Drosophila melanogaster: one gene and its partners. The protein of the gene in region 2 purifies or fractionates together with the protein of the main gene of each other region. This does not show direct contact. Each region holds a gene or a part of one and is shown on either strand. Other genes may lie near its edges.

What was found. Proteins that work in one complex are often made in the same cells at the same time.
Region 1: the proteins of DIP-theta (region 2) and dpr3 purify together in Drosophila melanogaster (affinity purification with western blotting; 2 studies listed by BioGRID). This does not show direct contact.
Region 3: the proteins of DIP-theta (region 2) and dpr7 purify together in Drosophila melanogaster (affinity purification with western blotting; 2 studies listed by BioGRID). This does not show direct contact.

What each region holds. Positions count from the first base shown.
Region 1 is NT_033779.5:2,106,862-2,111,764, reverse strand, and holds the start of dpr3 (defective proboscis extension response 3), read left to right. Parts: upstream 1-1,886; 5' UTR 1,887-2,039; intron 2,040-4,903.
Region 2 is NT_033779.5:5,655,529-5,660,196, reverse strand, and holds the start of DIP-theta (Dpr-interacting protein theta), read left to right. Parts: upstream 1-1,636; 5' UTR 1,637-1,802; intron 1,803-4,668.
Region 3 is NC_004353.4:247,313-255,214, forward strand, and holds the start of dpr7 (defective proboscis extension response 7), read right to left. Parts: upstream 6,018-7,902; 5' UTR 5,889-6,017; exon of another isoform or gene 5,702-5,888; 5' UTR 5,642-5,701; coding exon 5,512-5,641; intron 5,400-5,511; exon of another isoform or gene 5,399-5,399; coding exon of another isoform or gene 5,347-5,398; intron 4,859-5,346; coding exon 4,743-4,858; intron 4,214-4,742; coding exon 4,003-4,213; intron 2,932-4,002; coding exon 2,878-2,931; intron 2,825-2,877; coding exon 2,722-2,824; intron 2,666-2,721; coding exon 2,478-2,665; intron 2,424-2,477; coding exon 2,287-2,423; 3' UTR 2,245-2,286; intron 1-2,244.

The sequences.
Region 1 (4,903 bases), 3.5 Mb from region 2:
TGTTGTATTTTGGGTCTTAAAAAATTATAAGTCAATAAAAATACTTTGAAGTTTTGATGGCTTTTTGCTGTGCAATATTTTTCGGGTTTTCCTGATTTTTTAATGCCTCTTGTTCTTGACGCCAGTCTTCTACTGCTTCTTCTTGTTAGTTAGTTGTTGCTTGTTTGGATTTATGAACCTGCCACAAATTCGTCAGCGAAAATCCCTGGGAAAATTCTCTCAGCTGCTGTGTTTTTGTTCCGTTTTTTGTTTTTCTTTTCGCTTCTTGTTGAGTTTGTCAAATTTTTGACATTGAATCTGCAATGCGGGTGGCTAGAAAAAAAAAGGATAGCCGCAGGTGAAGGCAGCAAAGGATCTGCAGGAGCAATGCAGTTTCAGCCCGACTGATTTTTCCACGCTTGGATTTATTTTCATTTTTTCCGGCTGCGCTGCGTGTTTTTTTCCCACGCCCCAGAAAAAAAAAACTGGCTGCTTGTGAAATAATTGATGTGCAAATGTTCAATTGAGTTCACCTTGAGTGAAAGTGAGGGGCAAAAGGAAGCCAATAGATAGACGGCGGCTTTCACTCTGACGAACGTTAAATGTCAATGGAATGTGGGGTGGGGTGGGGTTGGGTGTAAACGAGAGGAGGTGTCTGCAAATTGGTGGCTTAAATTGATTAAGCTCCAAATGCAATCGATTATAAATTATTAAGAGCAGCTTAGGCCTATTATGTGTGGATAGCTGATATATTGGTATTAGGAAATTCATAACAAGTTCATTGAAAATTCGCGGTTATTAATTATTTATTATTATTTAATTATTTATTATCCATAATACTTGGATTAAAATGAATTTAAAAAGCTAATAGCGTTTGTAGAAATATTATAGAGTGTGAAGCTAAACTTAAAATTATAATCTCATAACTTGAAACATTAAGTGTCTTATATATTTTGCAAACTGACTTCTATTCAAAATATGGCAATTTCTCAAAAGTTTCAACAGCCTGGGGAAATGTTTCTTCAAATAAAGCGAAAACTGAAGGGGTAACTTTATGCACTGAATAAAGGGATTTTATCGCTCAACAAAGAAGCAGTTTATGTCCTAATGGACTTTTTAGAACAAGAGGTTCATGAAAAGCAGTAAACATGCTTATGGGATATATTTGGAAGTTAAAAAGCAGTCATATCTCAAGAAGGATATTTTTAGACTAATGTAAGGGCATTTTAGACCGGGTGTCCTTGGAAGCAGTGCAGGAAAGGATTTTTGTTTCAACTGTAAACAGGAGCATTTACCACACGTAGGATTTATTTAGCAGCTAAAAGATTTTTTGACTATGGTCTATGGAAAAATATATCATTCTACTTAAACTAAAAAGCAGTGCAGACTGCTTTCTACTTAAAGCAGGGGAAGAATATGCAAGACCAAATAGTATGAAAATTGGTAATAAGTCTCTTAATTTTTTGAAAATATTATCTAAGCCAAATATAAATATTTAAAATTAAAGATATAAAAAATAATACTTTTAGGGCACTTACTTTTAGGTAAAAATTAAATATATTTTTTCTAAATTTATTATGATTATTTTTAAAATTTATTTAGTTTATTAATGCCCATTCCCACATTTCACATTGCGCTGCAAGGATATTTGCGGGATATTATTTCCCCAGGATTTCACGAAGCTTTAACACACATTCGGAGTGCGGCGAATTGTGGTCCTTACAAGCTTTTCCGACTCGTGACTGTGTGCGTGTGCGGCTGATTGCCTGCGTGTGAGTGTCCTGTTCGCGTTGTTGTCCTAGTCGGTTTTGAACTTTTTTTTTACGTGCCTCGGAAGCCTTCGCTTTTACCTTCGCCTTTGCCTGTAGCCGCCGTAGTTCATGCCGCCGATCTCAGTATTGTGACGGCAACCAGGGGCTGCGGAAGTGCCACACACTCGCGACCTCGAGTCCTTTTCGCGCACAACGGTAAATCGAGTGGGTTAGGCGGTTTTTCGAGTTTTTCGAGTTTCCCGTGTTTTCCGACTTTTCCGGCGACCCAAGGAAAGGCGTAATTTTGAAGTGCGTTAACGAGGAGATTCGCCGGAAAGCGGACTTTTCAATGGCCCCGTGGAGTGAAAAGTGGGAAACAACAATAGAAATTTAAATATTCATGAACAGTGTCGATTGTCATCAATTGTGCGATGTTGTGCGGTGGCTGTGGACACATCGCACCCGCCAAACATTGTGTGGAACATTTCCCGCTCCTTTCGCCAATCAATGGCTGTTCACACATGAACACGAATATATTTAAAGACTTACAATTTTGGGCTCCGTTCATATCTTATGTAAATGAATCGAGAGCGATAAATTATATTTAGGATTTTGTTATCTAAGGCGACATGGGTGCATTGCTCAAAAACATGTAATTTAAGTGCACACTACATGAGTCAGTCACTTGAGATCGTTCCCCGCCTCCTAAAATAGTCCCTTAGTGGGAGACCACAGATAAGGTCCTCGCCGCTCAAGATAGGCAGATGTGCCCGAGCGTGGGACCTCGATAAGGCGGGGACTATTTACGTAGGCCTCTGCGTAGGCCATTTACTTTAAGATGCGATTCTCATGTCACCTATTTAAACCGAAGATATTTCCAAATAAAATCAGTTTTCTTACAAAAACTCAACGAGTAAAGTCTTCTTATTTGGGATTTTACATTTGGTCAATCGAGCCTTTAATCGACTCTGCAGTTTCCCCCTACCAAAGGTAAGGAACTCAGAGAAAGGCCAGCTCCTTTAAGCATCTTACAGCTAAAGGTAGCAAAAATAAGTGACTCTTGTTTCCCCCTACCAAAGGTAAGGAACAGAGTATAAATATAAAAAGCAAAAGATACAAAAGAATCTTTTATGTTTTAAAACAAGCACCTTATAGTCTATAGCTAAAGGTTGCTTTGTGTACCATTATAAATTGTGGTAAGGCGTGCTTGAGGCCATACATCAGCAATTGTGAAATTAAAAAGTGCATAACAAAAGTGCCTTATAAATGCTCTAATAGCATTAAATCAGCTCATAAATAGAGTGCAGTGTATATGCCATAAGAGCATAAATTAAATAAAAAGTGCCTGAAAACAGTGCCTTATAAATGCTCTAATAGCATTAAATCAGCTCATAAATAGAGCGCAGTGTATATGCCAAAAGAGCATAAATGCCGAAATAAATGGCTAAAAAACAAAAAATCTGACTGGACTACAAAAATAATAAAACGTGCCAAAAAAAAAAAAAAAATCATCTTTAAACATCGACGGAGCCTTAAAGAAGAGAAGGAAGTCAAATTCAAAGGAGCCTCTACCAGCAGCAGAAGCAGCAACAACAGCAGCAGCAGAAGCAGCAACAGCAGTAGCAACAGCAGCAACAACAGCAGCAACAGCAGCAGCAACAACAACGACATCAGCTAAGTCAAAACAAGAATTTTCTGTTTATCCAAACACACATATATATATAAATACATATAAAATACATATACACGTACTATATATATTAAGAAATTACAAAAAATTTTCAAAATGATGTCAGAAAAGACTATTCAATTCCTTAAGAAGCAGTCCGAAATTATTTTGGAAATTAGAAAGTTGGAAGTAAAACCAACATTAACAGATGTAGAAATTCTAAAATTAAATGAGCTTCAAAAATGTTTCATTGCTAATCATAGCAATTTGTTAAAGATCGGCGTTGTCGATCATGAATATTTTAACGCGAAGCAGTATGATTTAATAATGATGGTGTTAGAAAAAATTAAAAATAAAAATGAAAAAATTAAGGGCGAGTCGGTAGAAAACACTTTCCCTAAATCAAACACTGTCCCTAAATCAAACCCTCCCCCTACATTAAACCTTGAAATGCGTGGTCACCCTGAAAAAGAGGGTATAGCACAAAACAACGCTTTAAAAGTAGAGCAGGCATTTCGTAATAATGTTGGCCAATTTCGAGTATATCTAGAAGATACGTCTAAACTAATAGACAGTAGTCCAGATTTCCTTAAAATAAGGAAAAATAAAATTGAATTTTTATGGCATAAAATAGATAACCTGATTGAACAGGTGAATAGTCATTTTGAGAGTTCGCTATTCGAAGAAGAAATTAGCGAACTTGAATTTGACAAACAAAATATTCTTACAGCCATTAATAGTCGACTCAGTGGCACAATAAATAAAGCTGAAATGTCGACGGTTGTTAAGGCGGAGGAGTTACCAACCCTGCCTAAAATACAGATTCCCACCTTCTTTGGTGATTCCAAAGAATGGGATCTTTTTAATGAACTCTTTACAGAGCTCATACATGTGAGAGAGGATCTCAGTCCTTCTCTCAAATTTAATTATCTAAAGTCAGCATTAAAAGGAGAAGCCAGAAATGTGGTTACTCATTTACTGCTCGGCTCTGGAGAAAATTATGAAGCCACTTGGGAGTTTTTGACCAAGCGATATGAGAATAAAAGAAACATATTCTCAGATCATATGAATAGGCTTATGGATATGCCAAATTTAAATTTAGAATCCAATAAGCAAATAAAGACATTTATTGACACGATTAACGAGTCAATTTATATTATAAAATTAAAGGCACAATTACCAGAAGATGTGGATGCAATTTTCGCTCACATAATTCTTCGGAAATTCAATAAAGAATCACTCAATTTATATGAAAGCCATGTTAAAAAGACAAAAGAAATACAGGCACTTTCTGATGTCATGGACTTTTTAGAGCAAAGGCTCAATTCTATATCATCATTCTCACAGGAAGTAAAACCTGTAAAGAAAATGATTAATAATAACAAGAATAAAAATTATAGTGACAATTGTGCATATTGCAAACTACCAGGGCATTATTTAATTCAATGCCATAAATTTAAAATAATGAATCCAGCAGAACGGTCTGACTGGGTAAGAAAAAATG
Region 2 (4,668 bases):
AAATTTCCCCAAAAAATTCGTAGAAATGCCAAAATAAACGAGTGGGATCGCTGGAATGAGATGGCGCAAGGTAAGGATGTGGAGGATGCTACCCACATGAGCGACAGTAACCAACACGTACAAAACGCATAAACATTCTTGCCTAAGTGAGTTTGTACATAAATTTCGAGCAACTTGCGTTGCAGGATGCGTTACAAGGAGACGATTTTGTGTGGGTCTCAGGATCTGTTTAAAGGGAATGAAGGGGGAGACTGTAGCAGTCTACTGTGAGTAGAGCTAAACTTACGCAAAAATCCATGGGAAACCAAGTGAGTTTTGAAGTTTAGACGGTTGGCTCAGTTTCGGTATCCTAATTTATTTATGCAGCCCCTGGCAAATGCAACTTTACTTAGGATGGATATCACTCAGCTATTCATCGTGTTAGCGTCAGTGCTTATTCGAAGGTATTCAGATGCAATTGTTTTATGTTCGAAAAATATCTTAACACTAAAAAATTTGTGCTACTAGCGTTTACTTTTCACCTTTGAATTTAGAAGAAAGCTAAGAATTTATGAAGATTTCCTACCAAATAACTAAATAGCATTTATTATTTTTATGACATCAAATTTTTAACTACCCAACTATTTAATACCAATTACCGACTACTGGTGTGTGCAACTTGAAAGCTGGAATTGAAATTATTCAACGAATCATGGCAATATCATTGGCTGTTTGCATTATGCAAGCATACCCGGTCCTTTGATGCTTGATGGCATTTCCCGAGCACCTACACACACGCAGCCGGAAAAGAAGCAACTTTAGTAGCATATTTCACGGCGCTGCGTCCGAAGAGAGAACGCTCTAAAGAGCACCGCTTGCCGAAGAGAGAAGCCTTGGGTAAGAGAGACCGAAGCGCACATTACTGACCTACATTAAGTAAAAATTTATTTATGCCGGCTGCCAAATTGGTTCCCCAAAGCATTGGCAGGCCCCGCTGTCCCCTGGTCCCTGGCTTTATGACTATGACGGATATGATTGTTGGTCGGAGTTTCCCTTTCCCCTCCTCGTACTTGCCCACTATTACTGCCTTTGTGGTTGTTGGCTTAAATAATAATGGCTTGTAATTTGCATAAATAATGTTTGATTTTTGCATTGATGAGGGAAGAGTGTGTTCCGCGTGTGTGTGTGTATTTGGGGAATTTTAAATGATTGAAAGCTCGGTCATCATTGGGGAATGCCGGGCTAGATGGCACGAAATTTTTGCATTTAAATCGATAAATTAGTGGAAAGAGCTCTAAAAATCAGTATGCCAGGATATGAGTCGTTTGGTCTATTTGGAAGTTGCATTGTAGATTTAAGCCCACCAAATAGGAAGAATAGTTTGCTGCTATAAGGGTCGACTTCGATGCCCCAACAATGGTTTCTTATCCTGCCACAGCACTGTTAACCAGCTAACAGAGCTCTGGCTCTGTTGCTCTCTAACGGGACCTGGTTCTCTTTGCCTTTGGAGTTCGGCTCGCTTCGGCAAGTTCGCGAGTGCTTGCCGAACTCCACGAACTCCGAGCCGAAGAGCGCTCGGTAGTCGACAGTCGTGACGAATGACGGCGATTATCGCCCTTCGAGGACTTTGTGTAATCAGTGCGTCCTGCTAAGCAAATTAGTTTAGTATGGTTTTAGTGCGCAACGCTGACGGTCGCACCAGTTCGCAGCTCTTAACACGTTGGTGTCGAAAGTCGACGCGCTCGCGTTTCGTCCCTCGCTTGAATTGAATGCCGCGAGTCGCGAGTGCCTGCGATATCATCGGAGGACAATAGCTCAGCACTGTACGTAAGCGGAAGGAATGGCCAGAATTAAATAAATAAATAAGTGCAAGACACAACCGGAGACGCTGGCTGCCAACTTCAATTTGGTACTTCATTTTTCACAGCCCGCTTAACGCAAATTGTGCCGGTCCTGGCTCCTTGCTGGGTACTAAGGTCCTGGTGCATACCCGTGCATTCTCCGCTCCCCTCCCCTGTTGATTGCATTCTTGGCGGCAAGTCGAGCGTGGCTCATTAAATGGCTGGCGAAAAAAAATGAAAGAGGAGTGCCGACTTGCGGAAAAACAATCACAGCATTTCTCTCGGCTGGTAGAGCCTGCAAACGGCATTTATAGAAGGGCCCTAGCGGCGCTGGGAAATTGTGGTATTTTATTCGTTATTTCACTTTGACTGTCACGCCAATTGAATTAATTCCACCGAGGAATTTAGGATTTAATTTGACATTTAATTATTGCAATTAAAAGTGGCCCGCAAAGCGCAGCATCAACAAAAAATGTCGTTTCAAAACAGGATTATGATCAAACAGAACGCAACGAAATTATGAAATTTTGTTTGAAAAAAAATGAATTACTTTCGAAAGTGGTTGACAACATAAAGCCGTGTCACATTACAGCAGCGGTTTGTTATAAAACGCGTAATAAATCTAAGAAAAAAGGAAAAAAGCTTTTATATTGATGAAAGGAAAACTTAAACAACAGGGTCAGAAAAACAATTATTGTATACAATAAAGGTTAACATTAATGGCAAAAGGATACATATATATATATATTTATATATATATATTTGGTTTTTATGCCTTAATAACTTGTTAGCTCTGCCCAATTCTATGATTTGAAACCCCTAGGATATTTTGTCTTTGTATTTTGTATATTAGTATCCTAAAATATCCTTCTCGTTATCAACATAAACAAAATAGCGATTTATTATTATTACAATTCCTTTGACTTCTAGCATTGCCATTGCTAGCTAAAAATATTCAAGCCTGAATGATGTGCTTAACAAATTAAGTTCCATGCAACATGATTTCTTAAGCAACGTTTATCCTTTATTATATGCATTCACTACTTTCGTATATACACATATAATTCAGAAAAGTTTGCGAAACGTCGAATACTTGGTATCAGCAAACTTTTTTGATAACTTTACTTCACTTGTAGCCCGAAAACAGTTTGAAGTGCAGGACGAAAATCACCCAAGGACGAGCTTTAACTAAATTATTGGGAGCTCGCGTCAAGTGTCAGACTTTGGGGGGGAAAATGGAATAACAGTTTGCCTTTGTTGTGTCTACAAATTTGTGGGGCGCTGTTCGTCAGCGCTAATGAATAGGTGGGGAGTTTTGTGCACAATTATCAAATAAAACGGGTAGCCGACCGCACAATTACACACAATATTTTCGCACACGCACCCAAAACGGAAGCCGTATAAACAACATGAATATGAAATTTAGCTGCTAGAAGCATATACATGCACATACATACTATAGATGCACAGCTCGTTGTGGATGGCCGTCCAATAAGCGACATAAAATATGCGAGCACTCACACACACTAGCGCACGCGAGCGAACACTAACACATGCATATGCACATGCGGATGAAGCGCCCGCAGCGAGTGCGGGAAATATTTTATGCACTTTATGCGGCCTGGACGGCGCTTGCTGCTGGGGATCGCTAATTAGGCAATATGCACTTGATTGTGTTATAATCATTAAAACCGGAAATGCATGGCCAACCCACAAAACACAAACGAGCGCAAACGCTTGGCCACACACACACGCGCACACATACGAATATGCGTGAATGCTTTCAGGTGGCTGCAATAGTTCACAGCATACTTTCGCACAGGGCCAAAAAGTGTTTTACCAAAGTTTCGAAATTTCATCACAAGAGTAAATGGGGTCGGTCTCACCATCCTGTCCGATTTTGTTAGTTTCCCATTTCACTCTGATTAATTATTTGGTGAAAAATAATTAAGTCTTTGAGGGGCTGGCAAGGCGTCGGAAAAGCAGCTCGTTCTCCCACAAAATGACGGAAAGTCACATCAATGGCTCGGCGGAAACGGAAGTGCGGGAAAGCAAACACGTGTCGGAAAAATGTCTGCTTGCAACAATGTGTGCTCGTACAAGTATATGTGTGCCAATGCACTTCCGCACACCCACACACCCGCACAGCAGGCGCCCATGTTGCATATGTAAAGCGGCTTGTAAGCTGGCCAATTTTTTATGCATTTATGCATTTTCCCCCGCTGCAGCTGCATCCCGTCCCCCGCTGACCGTTTTTTTTATTAAAGTTGCCCGTTAAGAAAAGCCCAGAAACCGCAGCAACAAACAGGAACGCCCACTGTGCGAACTGCATCGCACGTCCAAACGCCTTTTTGTAGGTTAATCAAATGCAAGACGGGGAAAATGCACAAGCTGCATGTCAGTGGGAAATGCTGCTTGTGGCTAGTTAGTGTGAGCGGGCGTTGGAGCAAGCATTTTGCCATCTTTTTGTGTACGCATTTCGCATGGCTTGTTATATTAAAAGAAATTTCCCAGCTGAGAAGAGACAAGGCAAGGAAAAACAAGCAAGCATCATGGCAACTGACAGCCAAGATGGACGGCTCTGTGATTTGATTTTTATTTCGAGCGATGCACAACAGCAGCTGGCAGTCAGTGGACAGATGAATTATGGCAAATGATGTAAACGCTCCCAGTGGATGTGGCTCTAATTAAACCGAGGGCCAAGAAGCACTCATAGCCCAAGTACTCATTTTCTCCTTTTACAATAGATAAATGACGTTTCGCAATTTCTCAAAAGTTTCGACTACCCTTGCTGGTTGCCTAAAACCAGAAAAAAATATTTCCTTTACTTGCATATTTATTGATTTTC
Region 3 (7,902 bases), on a different chromosome or scaffold from region 2:
AACAATGTTTTAACTTTACTTTAAACTTTAATGTCTTGGATGTTGTCTTGTATAGGGGCGGCTTGCAATATATCGGAGGAACTCGAACCTTATTCTTAAAGATCATTAAGCTGTAGCACATTAAAAACTTTCTTAACTATAAAAACTATATTATTAAAGGAACACAAGAGTGTTCTGAATGATTTATTTGCGATATAAAACATATTAATCGTATCCGCCATTATGTTGCAGGAGTAAAGATCGGACCAATTAAAGCCAGCTATAAAATTGTTTAGCCTACGAAAATTTGCCTTGCGAAAACAGTGAATTCGCTTGGTTGACTTCTCTGAATTTACTTATACCTTACCTATGTCGATTGCCACCTCGAAAGTAGGATATGGATCTTGAGGTTGAGTAAGAGGGTCTACCCTGGACAGAAACACACTTTCAGGACTTGTTACAAAACATAGATCCAACAGTCGACCAAGAGAGTTTGGAATATAATTAACTAGCGACAAAGATAAGTCGAGCAAGCCGTCAATAAAGTCATGTTGTGCTAAAGGGAGAAGGATATTCGATTTTTCTTCTGGGGACCCCGTTGTGCCAGGTATATTAAAATCACCTAGAACTACCAATTGGTCCCTGTCAGACAGTTTATTCAAGATGGACTGGATATCGGACAGATGATTCTTATATTCTGGGAATTCAGAAGATGGCGGAATATACGAGCACGTAATATAAACTGAACTGTCGGAAAATTACAGCTTTACACATAAGAATTCCGAGTTACGGGAATCGCCCAAAAGTAACTCTTCTGACGAGAGGATAGATCTAACCGCAATTAAGACTCCACCTCCCCGTCTGGAGGGACGGTCATACCAAAGACACTACAATGACAAGATGCGTAACGGCCATACATTGGTTTGGCACTATGCAGCCGCCACTTTTTTGGTGACGGCCAAAATTGCTCTCTGTCCGCTAGCTTACGCCGAGAGCGTAAGAAATCTTAAAATAGAACTTGCTTGCTTGTGCAAGTAAAAACAAGAGACGAGAACGCGTATATGTGTGCGTGTTGTTCTAGAAGACGATTTCGGGCCGAAAATTTTAGTGCCTTTGATCTGTCCCTAGCGTAAGAGAAGTTACACTTTTCCACTTTTATATTATCGGCTTTTGTTTTGTCTTGTATATAAGACAATACATCAGACAATGTTTCATCACGGGAAAGCCGAGAAACGAAAATTTGTTTATTTAGTGGAACCACCGCGAGGGGTTTTGGTCCTGCAGATTGTATTTCTGAAGTGCCAACTTGTGCCGTTAGTCCGGACTCAATGTTCCGTTGTGGTGGTAAACTAATCGGGACAGGTGGAATCACTGGTTAAGAAACCAGTGCAGGCAATTCGGAATTTTAAGCAATCACAGGTTGGGGTCAAACTGCACAAATCACAAAAGAATCACTCGCGAAGCGAACGGATCTTTAATAATTATGTTTAAAATATTTGATAATTAAAAAAGATTATTAAAAACCACGGCTGGTTGGACAAACACGAAATAAAAATCGGGTCGCAAAAAAAAAAACACGAACGTTCGCTTTGAAAGCTAATAGACTTTTTGAAGGCTTAATTATTAACATTGTATTTATACAGGGATAAGAGAACCTCACATTGGAGTTGATTAGGTTCGGGGATTGAATCTTAATACATTTAATTTAATTATTCTCAGCTTGCAAACCAGTTTATCGACAAGTAAGAAACGATGTTCCGGTTCCGCCTGATAAACAGCTACATCTTATATTGCATGTCGTCTAAACCCTTGAAGTTAGAGCTCCTTGTCTTCGTATCATAGATATGTATTGTGAGGAGTCTTAAAACTCCCCACAAATCCGGGGAGCACCAGCGAAGAAGGCGAAGGTTAAAGTCAGCTCTAACAGGAAATAGTGGATCTTAAACCCTGGTAAAGCGGATGCCGTGAACTAACGGTACCGCGCTGAACCTTGGACTCGAGCCAGAAATCAGTGAACTTTTAGTGGCCATGGAAAAAAAATGTTTGGCAACTCAATAAAAATTTACAAGACTAATGAAAAAAAATATCAAAAAATTTTGCAAAAGTGTGGGTGTGGCAGTTTTGGGCGGTTAGAGTAGGCGTGTCAACGCGTGGTTGAAAATACGAAGGAAACTATTCCTTTCTTGTAAGCAAAGAACAGCTGGCAAAACGCGAAACTAGAGTTTATTCGTACTATATAGGGTTGATAAAAATCTATTATCTTACCTTAATGTTATTTATATATTATAATGGAAATTATATTGGTAGTCATCTTTCTCTTAGATACATATGCTCCATAAGACTTGAAATATATAACAACACTTTTGTTGATATGATAGTTATCATTGCAGTGAAAGCCCTAATCCGAATGGCAGAACTTGTTTGCATTGCTGCAGGCTGCTCACCTGTACCAATGAAATATTTAAAAACATATTAAATTGAAATAATTTTATGTTTACCAGTTAATACGTGAACCCTAACAGAAGCTGGAATGGCTCCATTTGGAACGCATGTATAGTTTCCAGAATCCCTTAATGAAGCTCGCGTTAGCATCAATCGACTCGTTGTTCCTACATCAGTTTTTTCCGTTTCTAAACTTATTCCACCGCGAAGTGAATCGAAGTCAACAACTGATGAGCCATGATACCTTTGATATAGTAAAATAAGTTGTTAAAATCTCTTACAAAGATCATGGTTTCTTACCAAATCACAGATGGTGCATGTATATTAACAGAGCAAGCCAGGGCAATAGTGCTATCCCGTTTTACATGAATTTCCGTAGATCCAAGAATTTTTGCTCGAGCCGCTTTAAAATATCACAGATAATTTTAATTTTAAGCAAGCTATAAAAGGCCTTACACTTTGTGTCGTAAAACCGCTTCTTAGTTTTAAGGTCTTGAAAGTCGTTGTCAGCTAAAATTTTATACAAAAGTAAATTTAGTATGAGTAATTAAATTAATACAACATTTTCTGGGGGTAAGCATATTTATGAACTCTTCCAGGTGAAATTAAAACCTGAATCAAACAAAAACCAGAGAATGAGACCCAAGTCGGTCCGAGAATTTTTAACATCTTTCAAGAATATCGATTGAACTTGGGAAAAAAGTTAATTTTAATTCCCTAAGGTGTGGGCGGGATAGATTTGGGCGTGTTTTATGGTTCAAAGTGGGCGTAGGTAAAATGTTTTCGGCATATCGGTAGAAATTAGCAAACCAACTGATTTGTGGGAGTTAGAGTGGGCCTGGCAGTATGTCTGTAGAATCTGTATGCTAATCTCAAACTTCTAGCTTTTATAGTTCCTTAGATCTCGACGTTCATACGGACGGAAGGACATACTCGGGTATTTATCCTGAATATAGTTGGAAACGCTTCCTTCTGTCTATTACATTAAAAGTAATGATTATAAAAACTCCTCGACTTTCATGTACCGTGCGGGTAAAGTTTTTGGTCGGTTCTTAAGTAGGAAAGCTCAACTTTCTTTATCAAGTTCTTTATCAAGAAAATGTAGATCAATTCTCAATATTTAGTTAGTTAGTTGTTAAAAAAGCTGAACGCATGTCAACTGTGAAAATTGACTGATTTTGTTGCTTTCTAACTTAAAATCGCGAATTTTCGAAAATGTGTTTAATATCAAAAGTCGGGGAATTTTTTGTAAAATTATCAAAAGAGTCAAAAGGTTCCTTTTGCTGCAGTCTTTAACCTGTTGAATTTAGATAAAATAGGTTTAAACAGTATAGATAGCATTTGAATATGCATTTCCAGCTATTTATTGCCCAATACTCTAGACTCATTACTTTACTAATTTGTGTTCAGATTTAAAATTTTTAATTGCCAAGACTTGTTGATTTCTGCCTCTTGATTTCTGTATTATTTGTTATGGTCGCTCAACGACAAAATTTAGTTTTGTATATACAGTACTCGAGTTCCACAGTTATTATTTTGTTTTTTTTTTTTTTGTTTGTTAATAAATGTTTATATATATACCTATTACTTGCAAACAAATTGCTAAATTTATTTTAGGCTCGGTATTCACTTGACACTCATATACGCCACTGTCTCTTGGCTGTGCATAATCAATTTTTAAGTCCCAATCTTCACTGCCTGGTGGATGTATTACAGAAAATCGTTGATCGCCGGTGTAAGTATAAATGTTCGTTGTAAGAATGTGAAGATCCCGCTTACGCATCCATGATACCTGAAATAATTAAAAGTATTTATAAGAAATATTAAATAGATACGCAATTTTAGGACAAGGGAAAGTTAAGTCCTCCGCTATCTGATAACCCTTTCACTATTTCAAAATGTAATCATTTATTCCTAATCCTATTTGTTTAGATATAGGCAAGCTTGCTAGAGAAACATGAGACTTAAAAGAATTTTTCACATTTTCAAATTGAGAACAGGCCTCGAAACAAGCTTGATCGATGGAAATGGAGGCAAGTTCCCACGTAGATTTGGGAGGAGAGTTGAAAAGGGCTAGCGAAAAGACAGCGCAAGCTAGCAATCCTTGGGAGAAAACTGCCTTTAAAAAATAAAACGTTTTCCTGGTGTGTCCCCAAGTTTAGTTTGAAATTTAAGGTTACTTCCCCCTCAAACAATTTTCCGTCACTAATTCGTACAGTCGTACTTTTTACCATGTGACCGAATGTGCTCTTCAAACGAATAAAAATGTTTCGATATAATCCTATGTGTAAGAATAAAAGAAAGAACCCATAATGACTTACCGTGCGATTTCCTTTATTTTTAACCCGACATCTTAATATTGCGATTTCGTCGACTACGGCCGACACATTTCTTGGGCTAATATCATCAAAGAAAGGTCGCTCCAAATTGGTTAGGTCTAAAATGAATTTGTATTTTATGTTAAACGAAAACGGATGCTAAATTATTCAAGCCGAAGCGTATATACCCTTGCAGGTATAAACTAAAAATAATTTTATATGCCCCTTATCTAGAAGCTAAACATTTTAATTTAAAGTTTCGATCTTTTTATGGACGGAAGTGTCGGTCAAGACTAAGAGCTTGCGACAACTATATATACATGCGCGAAATCTTTTGCGATAGGTCGATCATAAAGAGTGGTTACACTTGTTGGTGAAAGAGCTTGGGGCGAGACATGAAACTGTTGTCATCTTTTAGAAACCGAAGCTCCTCTCGAAGGATGTTTTGCAAAGCAAGCTTTCAGGTGGTAAAAATACTATGGGCAAAATGCAATATTAAGATTATTTTTTAGATTTAAATTTAGCATAATTTAAATACAATGGCTTTTTAAACATAATACTTTTGCGTATAATTTCACAATTGAATATTGTTAAGTACAATACGTACATACATGTATAATTTTTGTCTTCGTATTCAGGAATGCATTATATGTTTTCATTCTACACGTTGCAGAAGAAAATGGGTCCAACCAAAATTAAAAAAAAAATCCCGCAAGGGTAAAAATATATTTATCATTCTAGTGGGAAACTTTTAATTTAAAATGTATCTTACCGTTCAGGCTTAAATATGAAGTTGCACTAATGTATTGACACCATATATTTAAATTCAAGACTAAAATAATGAATGGTTTGATTTTAATTGGCGAATTATTCAAGAATGTGGCATGTTTGCCACGCGACATGTTGCTTTAATTCATTTGTCTTTCACAGATATGCATTATTTAGAGTAGAATTCCATATACCTATGTAGTTATAATAAATGTTAAGTATATAATTAAGTTAGATATTAAGCACACGCGAGAGCACGTATTGGCGCAAGATTTTTATTGAGAACAACTTTGTATCGGCATCGATTTTTTATCCTTTTAATGGACTTTCAAATAATATTCTGTTTTTCGGTATTTAGATCTGTGTTTTTAATATACATACAATTATACTTGCTGGCTTCAATTTTTATATACTTTTTTTAGTCTTTACACTTATTTCGTTGGCATCGACAATTATTATTTCAACGGTAAGCTCTAACAACCCCTAAGCAGCACGTTTTAGTGTTTCTGTGAGGACGACTTGTATACAGATTTTTAATATTCTGCAACCCTGAAAATATTCGCGCATGCCCATTGTCACATATGTACATATGTGTTATCTTACAATTTAGGATAGATTCTATATATTTATAGATTGCGTAGGTTATAATTATTTGTATGTATATATTTTTTAATTTTAACATTTTGAAGTCATATACTAAGTACTCTAGTTTCCTTTTATTGCTAAGACTCAGTAACACGGCTTAATAATATAAGCAATGGGCGGAATACAAATGGTACACATCAATTTGAGACTGAGATCAGATAAACGTGACAATAGCACCTTTACCCCTTAAATTTCGAACAAATTTGTTACTACTGACAGTTACATTCTCAAAAACGGTAATGGTAATGTAAGCATACATTGTGAATTTATCCTAAAAAAATGCATAAGTTATTATACCAGTTACTCGTAAATTTAAATGATATAGAAAAGGAAACGTTACCCGTTACTCGTAGAGTAAAAGGGTATACTAAAATCGTTACAAAGTATGTAACAGGCAGAAGGAAGCGTTTCCGGCTACATAAATTATATGATATTATTATATTATATACATTTTTATTCTTGATCAGGATCAAAAACCGAGTCGATCTAGCCTTATCCGTATGAACGCCGAAATCTCAGGAACCATAAAACCAAGAAGGTAGAGATTTAACATACAGCCCATATTTTAAAAAAATTGTTGGATGTTGTTCCAATATTTTATTATTCTTGTACATTTCTATCGATTTGCCAAAAAACTTTTAGCCCCGCCCTAAAGCCCCAAACCGGTCACGCCCACTCTACTATTATTATTAAATAGTATTAACTATTATTAATTTTTTTGTCATTTTATTCCCCAATATCTATCGATATCTCAGAAAAATGATAAAATTCCGCGTTTGCATTTACACTAGCTGAGTAACAGGTATCTGATAGTCGGGGAACTCGACTATAGCATTCTCTCTTGTTTTAGTTTTAAGTTGACTTGTTTGAAAATTAGTGTAAGTTAGTTTAGTTCACATAAAGTTCAGTTTCGCTCCCTTAAAAACTGTCACCGTCCTTGTTAACATCTAGGTGTTTCCTTTTGAAAATCAATTCTTAAATTCAAAATGTAGCTTCACACAGATAGAACTATAACTTTTCAACTAGCAGCTTGCACAGAGCATGACACATACATAAGGCCAATTATTCGCTTCGGACTAAACATCTGCAAAAGTGTATAATTTGTTTTCCTTATAGAAGGCAACACCATTTCAGGTCAAGGTATTTACATGAACCTAATGTAATGTCTCATCAGCTCTACCGCAATAGTAGTATTATTCTTAAATAACAGTACATTAATTGCAAACGAAAATACAAATTCCAATTGAATTTAGGTTTGTCCGGTATAAGCACGACAATTGGGATAACAAGGTATTATGAAATTGTATACATATGTTTTTGTACAAATCTTGTTTGTAAATATAAACTTAAAAAGTAAGAAAAGTAAAGAGTTTGTTTTCAGAACGTGTATATGTATGCACATTAGTCGATCACAAGCGGGATGCTCTTGTACCATAAATACATTCAAAAATAATATCTCGTGAACTTCGAAATATTTTTATGTTTTTTTTTCTGAAAATAATGTTCTCTTATTATGTACACGCTATCTCGCCAGGCATTTTGTGCTATTTTTCGAGGTTTAACAGTGTCTAAATAGAAAATAAATAGTATCAATAATATGACATATAAAAATTAAATAACAAATAAATAATCGTAAACCTCAAGGTGTCATAGTTACTATTTGTTGATAAAATTATACAGAAGTACTGGTTATTCCAGAATTTCAATATAAATATTGTGTGCTTTGAAATATAAATAAAGTCACTCACAT